2 linked regions of the Arabidopsis thaliana genome follow. The protein of the gene in region 1 interacts with the protein of each later gene in a pairwise test. Each region holds a gene or a part of one and is shown on either strand. Other genes may lie near its edges.

What was found. The genes of interacting proteins can lie anywhere in the genome.
Region 2: the proteins of AT5G63130 (region 1) and AT2G19650 interact in a two-hybrid assay, tested with the Arabidopsis thaliana proteins (one large-scale study listed by BioGRID).

Annotation. Positions count from the first base shown.
Region 1 is NC_003076.8:25,319,663-25,327,225, reverse strand, and holds AT5G63130 (Octicosapeptide/Phox/Bem1p family protein), read right to left. Parts: upstream 4,252-7,563; 5' UTR 4,037-4,251; coding exon 3,877-4,036; intron 3,788-3,876; coding exon 3,369-3,787; 3' UTR 2,487-3,368; downstream 1-2,486. Other genes in the region: AT5G63135 (transcription termination factor), read left to right, coding at 786-929, 1,818-1,973; AT5G63120 (P-loop containing nucleoside triphosphate hydrolases superfamily protein), read left to right, coding at 5,155-5,210, 5,290-5,753, 5,840-6,019, 6,111-6,272, 6,357-6,511, 6,680-6,772, 6,877-6,962, 7,063-7,289.
Region 2 is NC_003071.7:8,491,222-8,499,609, forward strand, and holds AT2G19650 (Cysteine/Histidine-rich C1 domain family protein), read right to left. Parts: upstream 4,672-8,388; 5' UTR 4,483-4,671; coding exon 2,434-4,482; 3' UTR 2,248-2,433; downstream 1-2,247. Other genes in the region: ASHR2 (ASH1-related protein 2), read left to right, coding at 180-1,376; AT2G19660 (Cysteine/Histidine-rich C1 domain family protein), read right to left, coding at 5,499-7,571; PRMT1A (protein arginine methyltransferase 1A), read right to left, coding at 8,057-8,262, 8,348-8,388.

The DNA.
Region 1 (7,563 bases):
AACTATGTGATGCTTTTTTATTTTACCCTAAGTTTTTTTACGCAATGTACAGCCTTTACAACTATTCACACCACCAAATTTGCAAAATTGATAGTCAGTATTTTATCTATAATTGGCTCCTTTGGGGGTTAGAGACCGTATATAAACAGCAATGGCATGCAAGTTAAATAGTGGATTTTAGAAAACATACTAACAAACATTACAATTAAGTATGTTCATTATGATAGTAGACTGGTGAAATATAAGAAAATTATTAGAGTTGATTAATTTTATTCGTTTGAATTTCTTCAATTTCTTTTGACATGAACAAGTTTATTTCGAAAACCTAAAACAAGATACATAAATACTACCATAAATGATAAACGAAAATGTTAATATAGCTTTCAAAAAATAATACAAAAAGTACTATGAATTCGCAAGATTCGATGTTTTATGGGTAATCAAAATATTTGGAATGTTACTATTCCATCACCAATCAAAAGATCAGATGCCTATTTACGTTTTTGTTATTAGAGTTTTAATTTTTAAGACGTTGTTAGTTAGTTTCAAATTTAAGTCACGCGCGGAAGGTAGGGAGTGGCCCAATGGGTTTCAAATTATGCTTTTGTAATTTTACAAGCCCAAATTTAACATTTAGTCCCTACTCATAGTCAAAATTATATTTATCTTTACCCAATAACAATGGGCTAAACAGATAAAAGCCCAATAATAAATGCACTGTGTTTTTGGTCTTTATTTACTTTTCCATCAATTTTCGTTAAGAGAGAAAAAGGAAGAGAAGAAGAATGTTACAGTTTCCGACGTTGATGACCCAATTTCCGTCGTCGACGAAGACGATTCCGGCATCGTATTTGCTTCCGTTACAATGGCCTCAGCCGCAGAACGAGGAGATTCTTCTCGCCATGGAAGAAGCTGAGTTCGAAGAAAAGGTAGCTTCCTTCTTTTTTATTTATGTATTCGTTCTCCTTCGGAATCTGCTGAATAGGAAATTTTCAGTTTTCGACTGTCACTACAGGCAGCATAAAAGGTCAATCTTAGATCTTTAGTTTCATGTAAGTTGAGCTGATTATGAGTGAAATTTATTGATTGTGTTCGAGATTATAAGTGGTTTCTACTTTGTAAATGATCAATCTTTTTCGATCCGTGGTGATGATTTTGGTTTTAGGCAGATCACTTTCTTCTCTACTTCATATTGATAAGATGAATATGAGTTTCTGAATCTTTCTGCTTTGGAACATATTCTTTTGGGTCCTATGTTTGAGTTTTAAGTTAGTACAAAAGTGAGAATTTTAGTGGATACCAATGTCGAGTTGTGATTCTAGTGTAGTGGTTTTTCCAGTGTAGACTCTATGGATATATGCATTTGTGTTCATTGGACTATCATCTTATAGCTTTAGACCCGTAATAATGTATAAAGATCCAAGGGTGATCTTCGAGTTTAAATTGGAGAGATTTTTGGTTTCTAGATTTAGTATGGAAAAGGATTTGAGTTTATTGTTACATGTTTTCCAATGTTTGAAAACTAGTTCCGTTTCCTGAATCACTAGCAAGTGAAAGGAAAGAAGCAAAGACAAAATTTGCAGATTTGGAATTTAGCCATTGTGAACTTTAGACAACATGTCTCCTTGTCGTGTGATGTGTTGGTGTTACCTCTAATTATATGTTCTTCTTAAATATATTAGATTGTGTGATTATATAGACGTGGGAGCTCAAAAGTGAGAGAGATCAGTAGAGCTAATTGTCAGTTTCAGTGTTGTTGTTATGAATGTTTTAAGACAAGTTCTAAGTAAATTCTTGTTGTCTTGGGTTTGGTGCAGTGCAACGAGATCAGAAAGATGAGTCCTGCTTTACCGGTAATTGGAAAACCAGTCGTCAACAACGAACAAGAAGAGGATGATAATGAAGCAGAGGATGATGATGCAGATAATGCAGAGGAATCAGATGGTGAAGAGTTTGAGCAAGAAACCGGATAAATAATCTTGAGGCCGAAAATACACAAGGGTTATTGATGGCATTGGCTTGAAACTTGAGGACCCTTATCTAAATCTTCTTGTGATAAAACGACTGTGATTCTGACTTTGTAAACCAGGTTTTTTTCTTTTCTTAGGAACGACTGAAATGTTCACTTTTGGCCCTAAGGTTAGTCAGTGGATTATTCGTAGTTAATTGTCTCAATCTCATGGTGTTAATTGTGTTAGTGTATTGACATTGAATTTTATGGTTTATAGATTGTAGTGATTTGATGATGATGACATTTTTCAAAATTTAGACCGGCCTGTACATGCCAACTACGGGTAAGATATTTGACCAGAAATAATACAAATTTAAACGAAAACATATGTAGTTGGGTTTTACGTGAATAAATTTTATTTGGCCAAAAGCATAAAAAACAAGAACATGATTGGTTGTATGAATTAATAATTTGAGATTCGTTTCTGACTTTAAATATGTATAAAAATGCTAAGAAAGCCCAATTTCGTGTGCTGGTTGGTTGATATTTCAACAAATAATGCTGAAAAACAAGAAATATGTGGTACTGTTACTTCAAAATTTGATTCGAAATAATCAATGAACAACTTCAAATATTTTTTGTGGAGTTCCAAGTTTTCAAGTTAAGATGGGACAATTTGCTCACCAACTTATTCATTCTTTAGTTCTCCACTCCTCCATCTGTCCCATTCACAAGTTGCGAATATTTAGGAAGTCAACTAAAATACGCCGACTAACATTTCTTTTTCCAATAGTTTTCTGATTAATTAATATATTTGATGGTCCTTTTCTCAAGTCGGGCAAAATTTTGAATCGAATAAACAAAGGAACTCCGTGTGAGACTGTGAGTAATCTCATGTCCTTCTCTAATCCTGATGAGACAGACAAAAAAAATCGAATATTATAAAGTTGAGAAAACAATTAAAAAATTACTTATCAAACAAGTAAAATAAAAAAGAACCTCGTTAAGAAAAACAAACTCCAGAAGACGAAAGGTTGACACGTGTGACGTAACTAATCCACGGACAACACACGTGTTCACATCTCCGATATTTACACGAGATGATCTCACTATTCGCCACGTATCACGTTTAACAAAAAAACAAACGTCGTACGTGTAAACACGTCGTAACGGCGACTCTAACGGTTAGTAACGGCCACTAACGTCCCGGTATATACTCCGTCTAAATTAATTTCTCCGTCGGTTACGTCTCCGACCGGTAATTGTATAGGAAAATTTTAATTCTTCTCTTCACAAAAAATCAACACATCGTAAAAATTTCTAAAAACCCTAAATTAAATCCTTTAATTGCGTCTTCTTCGTCATTATCATGGTATTCGTATCTATGGCGTATATTCGATTATTTCCCCAATCTCCGTCAATGCCAAACGAGCCTAGAGTCTTTGTGTACACGACACGCATAGCAGCAATGCGATTCTTCCGCTCTCTGAATGTATCTTCTCGGAGGAAGATCCGTGGAAGGTAAACAATACCGAGATTGTAGATATCTTCCATACGCCGGCGACGGAGAATTTGGCGGTGAAGGCGTGACGGAGAACGGCGATTTTGGAGATCGATCACCGCTTGAAGACGGCGAAGATTCGGTCTTATGCGAAGATCTCGGAGGTGATAGAACGGCACGGATCTTGGCTCCGCAGATGCGATCGTACTCTTCAACGATCTCCGCTAGTTCTTCTTCTGATTTGACGGAGATTAGAGTCTCGAGATCTCCGTTTGGTAATTGACATCGTAAATCAACGGAGTATCCACAGAATTCATAGAGTTTCTTCATCAGCTCTGGAGAAACAAAATTAAAAAATCAATCTCAGATTCGGCGAAATCGGAAATAGAATCGATTTCAATACGAAATTGAAGTGGAGACGAACCTGAGAAAGAGATAGAACGATCAACGGAGAGGACTCTGGTGTGACCTCCGACGTAACGGAGCTTGCCGTCGGTGGAGCGAGGGAGGATTCTGCCACCGTAACTGCATAGAAACTTGAGACTGCTTCCACTGTTCTTCTCGGTATAATCAACGGCTACCATTGTTAGTTTTTTTTGAATTTTTGAAGATTTGGGAGAGAAGAGGGAAGCTTTTTATAATTGAGTGTTTGTTTTTGGTGTCTTAAACCAAGAAGAAAGGTTGCAGATGGATGGGTTTTATAGGGAAGGAGTGATGTCATGGTGGGATATTACGCGTATGGGCAAATAGAAAATTCCTTGGATCTTCTATGGGCATTTTGGACAATTCTGTTATTTCCAACAATGGAATATTCTTTTGTTTAATTGATTCCATTTTGAAGAAATCTTCTTTCTTAAAAGTCGCTCATCATTATAGACGTTTGGTCATCAAAGAAAACTAGTCATAAAATTTTAATCAAATATTGAATGCTGAATCTGATTTGTACCTTCCTCTTGGCAGTCTCTTCCATGTTAATGTTATTGTTAATTACCATCAATTTTACTGATTGCTCTGAACATGATTTTGTTTTTTTATTATTTTTTTTGCTGCAAGAACATTATTATGTTTGAAATTATAAATATGTCAAGTATGACCTTATGGCCATGTAATGTTAATGATTCGATTTTATAAATACTGTGCATTATGGGTCAAGTCAAATGTATACTTTTTCACTAGTTAGAAAATAACATACAGTATATGGTATTATTCCAGAAAATATGTATTATGACTAGGATTGGTGTAGTCACATGACTCATGAGATGGTATGTCTGAAAAATCCCATCGCAACTTTAAGATTTTCCAAATTTGATTCGACACTGTTGGCAAAATGTTTAAAGCAATAGACTCCCCCATCACAAAACCTCCAATAATTTAAGTTAAACAATTGTTTGGGTCCAATTTGTAGCCCATTAAGTGGTTAGTCATGGCCCATATCTGATTACCAACAAAATAAAGGAAATTAATTAAATTCGCGCAATAAAAAGAACAGAAAAATGGTGGGACAAATTAGGGTTACTAATTTGGGAATTTTACTGTCCAAAACGAATCAAAAAAAAAATCTAAGCTTTTTGTTCCTTTTGCGGCTTTTCGTCGTCTTCCTTGCACTATCTTCCTTCTGTAGCATCAATTCGTTTCCAAGGTTACGTAGTAGAATTTACGCGAGAGAGCGAGAGATCAAAAACCATAACCATCTTAAGTTACAATGAGCTCGTATGATCGTAGATTTGCTGATCCAAATTCGTATCGCCAACGCTCTGGGTAAGTGAAACCAATCGACCAATTTCTTCGTTTTTGTTTCCTTCGATCTGTAACACTTATCTTCTCTGTGTTACTTTAGCGCCCCAGTTGGTTCGTCTCAGCCGATGGATCCTTCCGCCGCACCATACAACCCACGGTACACTGGTGGTGGTGGAGGATATGGACCATCTCCGGTAATGGCCGGTGATAATTCCGGCTATAATCGGTACCCATCTTTCCAGCCACCTAGTGGCGGTTTCTCTGTTGGCCGCGGTGGTGGAAGAGGTGGATATGGTCAATACGGCGATAGAAACGGCGGAGGGAATTGGGGAGGAGGAGGAGGACGTGGCGGATCGAGTAAAAGAGAGCTAGATAGTGTTTCTCTTCCGAAGCAGAATTTTGGGAATCTTGTACATTTTGAGAAGAATTTCTATGTGGAGAGTCCCACTGTGCAAGCTATGACAGAGCAGGATGTTGCAATGTACAGAACCGAGAGGGATATATCCGTTGAAGGTCGTGATGTTCCTAAGCCGATGAAGATGTTCCAAGATGCTAACTTTCCAGGTATTTTGATTGGATTGGTCATAGAGTTTCCAGTTCATTTATATCTAATTTGGGTTCTTAGTTTAATGGTTCCTTTTATCTGTTAGATAACATTCTTGAAGCAATTGCTAAATTGGGATTTACTGAGCCAACACCTATACAAGCTCAGGGATGGCCGATGGCGTTGAAGGGTAGGGATTTGATTGGTATTGCTGAGACTGGCTCTGGTAAGACATTGGCTTACTTGTTACCAGCATTGGTTCACGTTAGTGCACAACCTCGATTAGGTGAGTATTACAGCACTATGTGATATTCTGATTTAAGCTGCATTCATTTTTCCGGCAACTTTTTTATTTGCATTGTTGGGGTGTAATATAGGTCAGGATGATGGCCCCATTGTGTTAATATTAGCTCCCACAAGAGAACTAGCTGTTCAGATTCAAGAGGAATCAAGGAAATTCGGGTTGAGGTCTGGTGTTAGAAGTACTTGTATCTATGGTGGTGCTCCTAAAGGACCTCAGATTCGTGATCTTAGAAGAGGTATTTTATTTTTTAATAGTGTAGTTTTCATGTCTGGTTCTTGGATGGAACATCAAAGTTTATGAATCATGATTGGCTTGTCAGGTGTTGAGATTGTAATTGCTACACCTGGTCGTTTGATTGATATGTTGGAATGTCAACACACTAATTTGAAGAGAGTGACTTACCTTGTACTGGATGAGGCTGACAGAATGTTAGACATGGGATTTGAACCCCAAATTAGAAAGATTGTATCTCAGGTATGTTTGTACTTTCTCCAAAGCTATCATGTAGTGTCTTTAAGGAAAGGGTGGTTGACCAACATTATTAGTCGATAGATTTTATCTTCCCAGTTTATTGTTCTGTTGCTAAATAAGAACCATCACGGCTTTTGTTCAGAACTTGAGATTGTTCCTTATTTTTCACAGATCCGACCTGATAGACAAACACTTCTTTGGAGTGCAACATGGCCACGAGAGGTTGAAACTCTTGCCAGGCAGTTTCTACGAGATCCATATAAGGTTTACTTGCTATTTAGTTTAACTTATTAGGATTGAGTATACTGTTGTTGAATAAAGTAGGGGATGTTTTATGTTGTGCACTGAAAACAGTTGTTATTTTGTAGGCCATTATTGGATCAACAGATCTAAAAGCTAACCAGTCTATTAACCAAGTAATCGAGATTGTACCGACGCCAGAGAAATACAACAGGTTCTTAATTTTTCTGTCATTAGATAAGAAACGATTTATATATATATTTATTTGCCTTCTTATATGATATGATACTTATGCCTTTTTTCTCGTTTGATAGGCTCCTTACACTACTTAAACAGTTAATGGATGGGAGTAAAATCCTAATTTTTGTGGAGACAAAGAGAGGGTGTGATCAAGTGACTAGACAATTGAGAATGGACGGATGGCCAGCTCTTGCCATACATGGTGACAAGACCCAATCGGAAAGAGACCGAGTCTTGGCAGAATTTAAGAGTGGACGAAGCCCGATAATGACTGCCACTGATGTAGCAGCAAGGGGACTTGGTAGGATTAACTGTGATACACAATAGGAGAGATTATACTTAGAGCATTTCGTTTTCTTGGGGTTTTAAAGATAATAAAAAAAGTCGCCTGGCTGCCGCTTTCCACAGTTTCCTCTGGTATTAGGGAAAAAAGCACATAGAAAGAAAAAAGGAGCTTCTTTGAAGAATTTGTTTCCTGCATCCATCTCCCGGGCATGGAGCTGATTGGTTTTTGAGCAGCCTGGGCGACTGACACCTGCATGCATTAATAGTGTTATAACGCCGTCCCAAACACT
Region 2 (8,388 bases), on another chromosome or scaffold:
CATGGACTGAGAGAAAGCCCGTATAGCCCAAAGTTTCCAAGCTTGTATAAGGCCCAACCAAATAACCTAACGAGTTTAAAGTTCAAACGTGATGAAACGTTACCGTTTTAGCGTTTCTCATGTTTCTTCCATATAAATAGTTTTAGTTTTGTAGAAAACCCTAATCGACGACGGCCATTATGATAAATGACGGCGGAGCTAAACCGGAGACGCTGCTTAGGGTTGCAGAAATCGGTGGAAGAGGAAGGAGTTTGGTGGCGGCACAGTCTCTTCGTGCTGGACAAGTTATCCTCAGAGAGTCTCCTCTCCTTCTCTACTCTGCTTTTCCATTTCTCTCCTCCTCTGTTTCTCCTTACTGCGACCATTGTTTCCGTTTGTTAGCTTCATCGGCGCATCAGAAATGTCAATCTTGCTCTCTCGTCTCCTTTTGTAGCCCTAATTGCTTCGCCTCTCATACTCCTTGGCTCTGCGAATCTCTTCGCCGGCTTCACCAATCATCCTCCTCTGCATTCTCCGATCAACCTTCTGATCGTCAAGTCCAAGCTCGTTTCCTCCTCTCTGCTTACAATCTCGCCGCTGCTTCTCCTTCTGATTTCCAGATTTTGCTCTCTCTCCAAGGTAGTGGCAGCAGCAATGGAGATCCTTCTTGTTCTGCGGGTGATTCTGCAGCTGCTGGGTTTCTTCATTCTCTTTTATCTTCCGTGTGTCCATCTCTTCCGGTGTCTATCTCGCCGGATCTCACGGCGGCTTTACTGTCAAAGGATAAAGTTAACGCCTTTGGTCTGATGGAACCGTGCTCTGTTTCGAATGAGAAAAGATCTGTGCGAGCTTATGGGATTTATCCAAAGACTTCGTTTTTCAATCATGATTGTCTTCCTAATGCTTGTAGATTCGATTATGTTGACTCTGCTTCTGATGGTAATACTGATATCATCATTAGGATGATTCATGATGTTCCTGAAGGTAGAGAAGTTTGTTTAAGCTACTTCCCTGTGAACATGAACTATTCGAGTAGACAAAAGAGATTGCTTGAGGATTACGGTTTTAAGTGTGACTGTGATCGGTGCAAAGTGGAATTTAGTTGGTCTGAAGGTGAGGAAGATGAGAATGAGATTATGGAAGAGATGGAGGATCAAGATGAACAAGAAGAGATGGAAGATTCAGTAGGTGAGAATGAAGAAGAAGTTTGTGGAAATGGTGTGGATGATGAATCTAATTTTCCTCATGCTTACTTTTTTGTGAGATATATGTGTGAGAAGGAGAATTGTTTTGGCACTCTAGCTCCGCTTCCCCCGAAGACTCATGATGCTTCGAGAGTTCTTGAATGTAATGTTTGTGGAAGCGTTAAGGAGGATGAAGTTGGCGTAAATCAATGAGGAAGGTTAGCTTAAAGAATTGATCAGCCGAAAATCTCAAGCTTGTTTGATGCAGCCAGACCCAAACAACAAGAGACTTGTCTTGGACCACATCGTTAATCAATGTTGTTTGTTGTTTGATGTTTACTTTTTTTTTTTTACTCAGTTTTGAAAATTCGATAAGTATTCTAGCTCTAGAATTCCATATCTAGGTTTTTTGTTTTCTCCTAGATAGTCTGAAGAATCAATTGTAATGGTCTGTGGAATTACACGGAAACAGTTTTGTTGTAATAATGGAGCATCAGTTTTCTTTGGTTGAATGAAAAATCATAATTTTTTTGACTTTTTAAGTTGAAAACTGCAGAATTACATGGCTTGATGATGTTTGCATTGTTAATCTCTATTACTCTTCAGTGTGCTCAGTGCCTGAAACCATAGCTTCCTTGATAGGGATCAATGTATTGGTAAACCAAATTGTGTAATAGTTTTTCCATAAAATAGATTCAATAGAACCAGTGTAACAAAAAATTATTAGGGGGCTCTGTTTTAAGGTCGCAACATGACGGTGACACAAACATTTTTTAGTGATTAACTTGTTCTCATTCTGTTCCAAGTTCAACAACACAAACTGAGTTTTTTGGCTTCTCTATCAGAGAACTAATGTGATTCTACAACACAACCTGCTCTGACTGACTTACTCTGCTATGTTCTGTTTTGCTCTGCTCTGTTCTCACTTCCACGTCTCTGTTTTTGTCATTGACATTTCGACTTGTAGGAACTTAAACATTTAGTGGATTGACTGGCAAGATTGATCCAACCTTTTCCAATCTTACATCCATAAATAAGTTGATATTTTTTCTGGTTTTTATTTGGCAAACACTAATGCACCCTAGGGTTCAATGAGATATATATATATTACACTAACACAAGTACACAACCAAATGTTATTGTAGGGACTTGTAATAATTTAACAGACCCAGATTCCTCACAAATTCTACCAAATTTGCGAGTCATTCAAGCTAGCAAACATTATCATCTATAAATAAATAGTTTTCTAAACATAGTAAAGAACATAATTTTAAAATTCGAAACGTTCCTGATAAATTTTCTTCTCACATTCTAAAGAACAAAAGTATAGATCAGCTCCGTCCTCGGGAAGCGTACGAACGAAAGGGAGCTTGCATCGAGAGTTGCACACGCAGCAAAGTGGTCTACAAATAGAGTGGTTGGATACAAATGTTCCTATCCATGTTAACGCTCCTGGCATGGAATATGCGTAAGTATCTATAACGCAGGAAATATGCAATGTGATCCCACACTCATTGCATGTATAGAACCATTTTTCTGGGTTCACAGTTGTTTCGCATGCTTCACACCAATATTTGCCAGCCACGCCCATTTCGCCATAAGATAAGAAGAGAGGATGATCGTCGTACCTATGCCTCATTACCTTTTGCGGTAAAATAGCACACTTGAAGCACAAACCAAATTCACAATCATCGCAACTCAATTTCCCGTCTCCATCACACTCACTACAACGTTTGGAGTGATCTGTAGAGTAGTGTAAAGGATGTTGATGGCTTTTGTGCTCAAATGGTTCTGTAACTGTAGCGCACCGTACATCTATCCTTAATTCCTTAGATTCATAGGAGAAACCGGTGAACAGTTGACGGCAAATACTACACCTATGTAACAAGTAGGTGCCATAATTTGGGGATAGTTCGAGTGGCTGGTTGTGGCACACATGACGTTTCTTTAAAGGAAGCTTGGCACATTTTTCGTGGATTATGAAATCGCATCTCTTTCTCGCGCAAGCGTAGAACGGTTCTGAACAAATCTGGAAGACACATGCGGTACAAACTACACTTTCTGGTAGATTCCAGCCACGGTAAATTCGTAAGTTATGCTTATGGCCGTAATGGTCTATCGTGTTGTCATCAATCACCTTGAATGGCGCAGTTTCCTCTTCTTCGGGTGTCCCTTCCAGTTCGATCATGTCCCATACATCCCTTCTGGTTGCGCATCTTGAATGAACAAAATAATCAAAACATTTGGAGCAAGAATAAGCCCCGTAGAACCCATCCACATTTTTACGACAAACTCTGCATTTCCCGTCTCCATGTCCGAGGCGAGGGGTGTAAGAGATGCGGTGGTCGTGGCGGTTGATGTTTATGACGCGAGGTAGATCGATACATTCCCGATGAATCATGAAATTGCACTGAAGACAGAAATAAGGGCTACGGTCACCTAGCGTCCCACAAGCATTGCAAGTGAAGTCAATGCGTCTTGGAACAAGGTGAAGTTGATGTTCATGGGTCCTCGGGCTTTTAACAAGAACCGGTGGTGGGTTTTTCATACATGATCTGCATATGCTAAAATTACAAACACCACAGTGGTGAAGCTGGCGATGGATTCCATCAAACTCCTCGCGGCAAAGAAGACATTTCTTGTCGGCGTAACCAGGGACTTCATATCTAAGTGACTTGAGTGGGTGTTGGGGGTGAGAAGTGTGGTATGCTTCTGGACTATTATGATCGATACAATCCAGACTGATGAAAAACTCGCATTGATGACATGTGTAGAAATGTTTCCAGCTATTATGTTGATGGCCACACCCTTTGCAATCTCTGAGTGTTTCGTGCGCTTCATGGGAGAGTTGGAGTGGATGCTCGTGTAGGTAGGAGTTTTCAGCAAGAACAAGTAGGGCTGGTCTCCTCGCGCAAATCAAATCCAACTGGAAATCACATTTGTTACAGCGATAACCGACACTGAAAAATTCTCCACAGAAACTACAATTAGAAACTCTGGTATGTAGGAGGATCAGCTTGAGAGGATGGACTGGATGGTAAGGGTGGTCGATTTCTGGTAACGGCTTGGCGCACTCTTCATGGAACACAACATCACATCCCGGCTCATTGCATCGGTGTCCTCCGTAAATGTAACTGCAACCGGGATGTTTGGAAATGAAGCTTGTATTATCTTCATCGGTCGAGTAGCATCCTTTACACTTGGTGAACTCGAAGCGTGTAAAAGGTATCAACGGATGCTCATGAAATGGTAACAATTTTTCAAGGCGGGATGCTTCTTCGTCCATGCCTTCATTAAACAAAGCTAGAAAGTTTTCCATGGTGATGTTTTCTTACTTCCACCAAAACACAAAGCTCTTCTCTTCTGCACTAGTTTCAGACTTGGTTTCTTGTTTTTCTCTCTTTCTTTTCTTTCAGGATTTTTTTTCAAGTGGTTTATCATTTTCAGACTTTGCAAATAGTTAATATGAATTCGCACCACAGAAATGATTCTTTTCATTACTGAGATTGAGACCACATGTGTTGGCTTCATCCTTGCATTATTTAATTAACTCAGACCACATATGTTGACTCTGCAACTATTGTGTCCGGCCAAAACATAAATAATTGAATGAATACAAAAAAGGTTTTTTCTTGCATTAAATGGAATAGAAGTTTATGGATAGAATAGTTTAGAATTTAAATGGATGGAACTGTACATTTTGTGGAAAAAACAGTTTGAAGTCTGAACCACACAACTCCTTGGCCAAGTAGCTTTGGAGGTAGACTTTGCTGCATTCAAGTCTCTGAAACCAAAGTTTTATTATTGTATTGCATCCACTAACTTTTATGTAATTTCAGACCAAAAGATTTGTATTTTTGTCTTTAAGACCAGGATTGGGCCAATCTTTGTTTTTTAATTTTTATACAGCCAAAAGTAAGTTCTATTTCCACCATCAGATTGTATAACCCATTTGAATAACACTATAAAGTTAACATATATATACCATCTGAAACATTCGAAGAATCATTTGTCAAATCACATGTATTCAAATCACTCAGAGCAAATTTTGATTAATAAAGAAGTTAAAAAGACATACTGCGTATACATGAGCTGCTCTTGCTTTAGCACAAAACAGAGACCAGATTCCAGTTCCAGCTCTAATGTCAAGAAACTTGTTCTTTTAAATATCCTGTTAAGAAATTCTGTTTCTAAGATCATTGAGACTGCTGCTGACTGGATTCAAAAGATTGATAATTGTGGAAAAAGCGCATAAGCTTGAGGTTAAAAAAAAACTATTGTAAAACATACTTTTGGAATTAAATGGTACAAAGTTTTTCTTCATTAAAACATGCCTTACCAATCACTACTAGAGTAGTTATTAGAGCGGTTGAAATTATAATAACAGTTTAAAGAACAAATGTATAAAACAACATCGGCTTTGGAAACGACCTTAACAATGGAAGGAAGCTTGCATTGAGAGTTACACACATAGCAAAATGGTCTACACATAGAGGTGTTGGATACCACCAAGTCTTCCTCCCATCCTATTTTGGAACCTGGCATATAATATGAGAAGTCTCCCACAACGCATGAAATATGCAATATGACACCACAATCATTGCATGTATAGAACCATTTCTTCGAATTCACTTTTGTTTCACATGCTTCACACCAGTATTCTCCATCCACACTACTTTCACCACACGACAAGTAAAGAGGATGATCGTCGTATCTATGCCACTTTACTTTCTGCGGTAAAAGAGCACACTTGAAGTCCAAACTATAGTCACACTCATCACAGCTAAAGCTTCCTATATCTAGATCCATGTTTTTGCCACATTCCGTACAAGACTTAGAACTACGTTTCGAAAAGTATAAGGGATGTTGATGGCTTTGGTGCACCAATGGTTCTCGAATTGAACCACATCGTACATCTAGAGTAACCATACGAGTAAGACACTCGTACCTGAAACCGGTGAAACTTTGCCAACAAAGATCACATGAAGTTTCGTCTGAAGTATCATTTGTGACTAGGGTAAATGGTAGGTTGTCGCAAACATGCCGTTTCTTCCGAGGCAGGTTAGCACATTTTTGGTGGAGAATGAAGTCACAATTCTCGCAACTGTAGAACGCATCTGAACAGATCTGGAAGACACATGCTTTACATAGTGTGCTTTCATGGAGAATCCTCCCATCCTTGTTGATTACTAAGTTATGATCATGGCTAAAATGTTTGATCGTGTTATCATCAATCACCTCGAATGGCGCATCTTCCTCTGGCTCTTCGGGTGTCCCTTCTAGCTCTATCATGTCCCATACATCCTCGTCCGTTGCGCATCTCGAGTGAACAACATAGTTAGAACATTTTGAGCAAGAATAACCCCCGTAGAAGCCATCAACCTTTTTACGACAAACCCCGCATGTATTTTGCCCATGTCCAAGACGACGAGTGTAGGAGATGCGATGATCGTGGCGGTTGATGTTTATGACGCGGGGCAAATCGATACACTCCCAATGAATCATGAAGTTGCATTGAAGACAGAAATAAGGGCTTTGATCAGCTTGAGTCCCGCAAGCATTGCAAGTGAAACCGAGAGGTTTTGAAAGAAGATAAAGTTGATGCTCATGGGTGGTCGGGCTTACAACACTAAGCGGCGGTGGGTTTTCCATACAGCCGCCACATATGGTAAAGTTACAAACATCACAGTGGTGAATTCGTCCGTCAAACTTATTCCCGCAAAGAAGACACTTGTTGTCGGCGTAATCGGGTGCTTCTTCACATCTAAGGAGCTTGAGTGGGTGTTGGGGGTGTAAAACGTGGCTAGCTTGTGGAAAAAGTTTGGTACACTCCACATGAAAGCGTAAATCGCATTTATTACATTTGTAATGAACAGCATCGAAAACTCCCCATTTGCATGTTTTGCAAAGTTGCACAAAACCGTCACGGGTTCCATCAGAGAGCTGAATCGGATGCTCGTGGACAGTGGATTCTTCAAGAATAAATTCCAAAGGCAACCTCGTCGCGCAACGAAAATCCAACTTGAAGTCACAAATCGAACAAAGATAACCATTTTCAAACGAAGATGGACACTGGCTACAAGAAGCAAGTGGTTCGACATTTATGAGGAGCTTTAGAGGATGGTCTGGATGAGAATAGTGGTTGATTTCTGGTAACGGGTCGGCACACTCTTTATGAAACACAGATTCACACCCCAACTCATTGCAATGGTAGCCTCCATATATGTAACCAACATACCCACACCCTTTACAAGCCTTGTAGGAAAAACGAGTAAAAGGTAACAGCGGATGGTTATGAATTGGTGGTACCTCTACTTTTTCCATGGTGATCCAAATCAAACCACAGATCTCTTTTGTGATGTTTTTCTTTTCTATTTTTGTTTCTATCGGATCTCTCAAAGTGGGCATATAACGATGAATAATCAAATAATGCATATGATCAAAATTAATGCCATACCACGTGAAATATTGATTATTGTTGCCACTGAGATCCAGCGTCCACGCCATGTGAAACAACTAAAGTCTGACCCAAGGCGATACTTCCAAGGCCTGACTATATCCAATTTTTAAAGTTTGTTATCGATCCTTCTCTACATCTGAATGAACTTGTTTGTAAGCGGTCAAATCAAATTGTAATTAGTTGTGTGATATATACACTATTGTCGTATTTGCTTAGGTTTCTTGAACCAAACGAATATTGTGGTCGAGAGGAACAAGAAACTATCATAGAGGAAGAGACGCACAGTGAGAGAGAAAGAGAGAGATGGTTAATATCTAATTCTGAAACATAAGCAGCAATAATGGAAACAGTAGAGATACAAATGAGATTTGTCCATCTCAGCCTCAAGATGATGAAAGGTACTTGTGGGGGATTTTACATCCTCTGAGAGCTTTTAGCGCATCTTATAGAAGTGGGTCCTTGAGATATTGCAATGTTGGCCGTTCAAAGAATAGCTGAGCTTTATGTCGACGTCTCTGGGATTCTTTTTGTTTTGTGCAATGGTCATGCTTCCTGTGATTGTTTCACCCTCGCATATGGTTAACACATCTTCCAGGTACAGCACAGTTTGTTTCCAATGCGTAGCCCGCGATTTCGGTCCTGCATTGCATGTTGTGACTTGTAATGTGAGTACCAAACATTGACAAACATCAACATATTTCACTCATGTTTAGGGAAGTCGAACCTGTTGAGAAACCCATCTTCTTGTGACACATAGTGAATGAC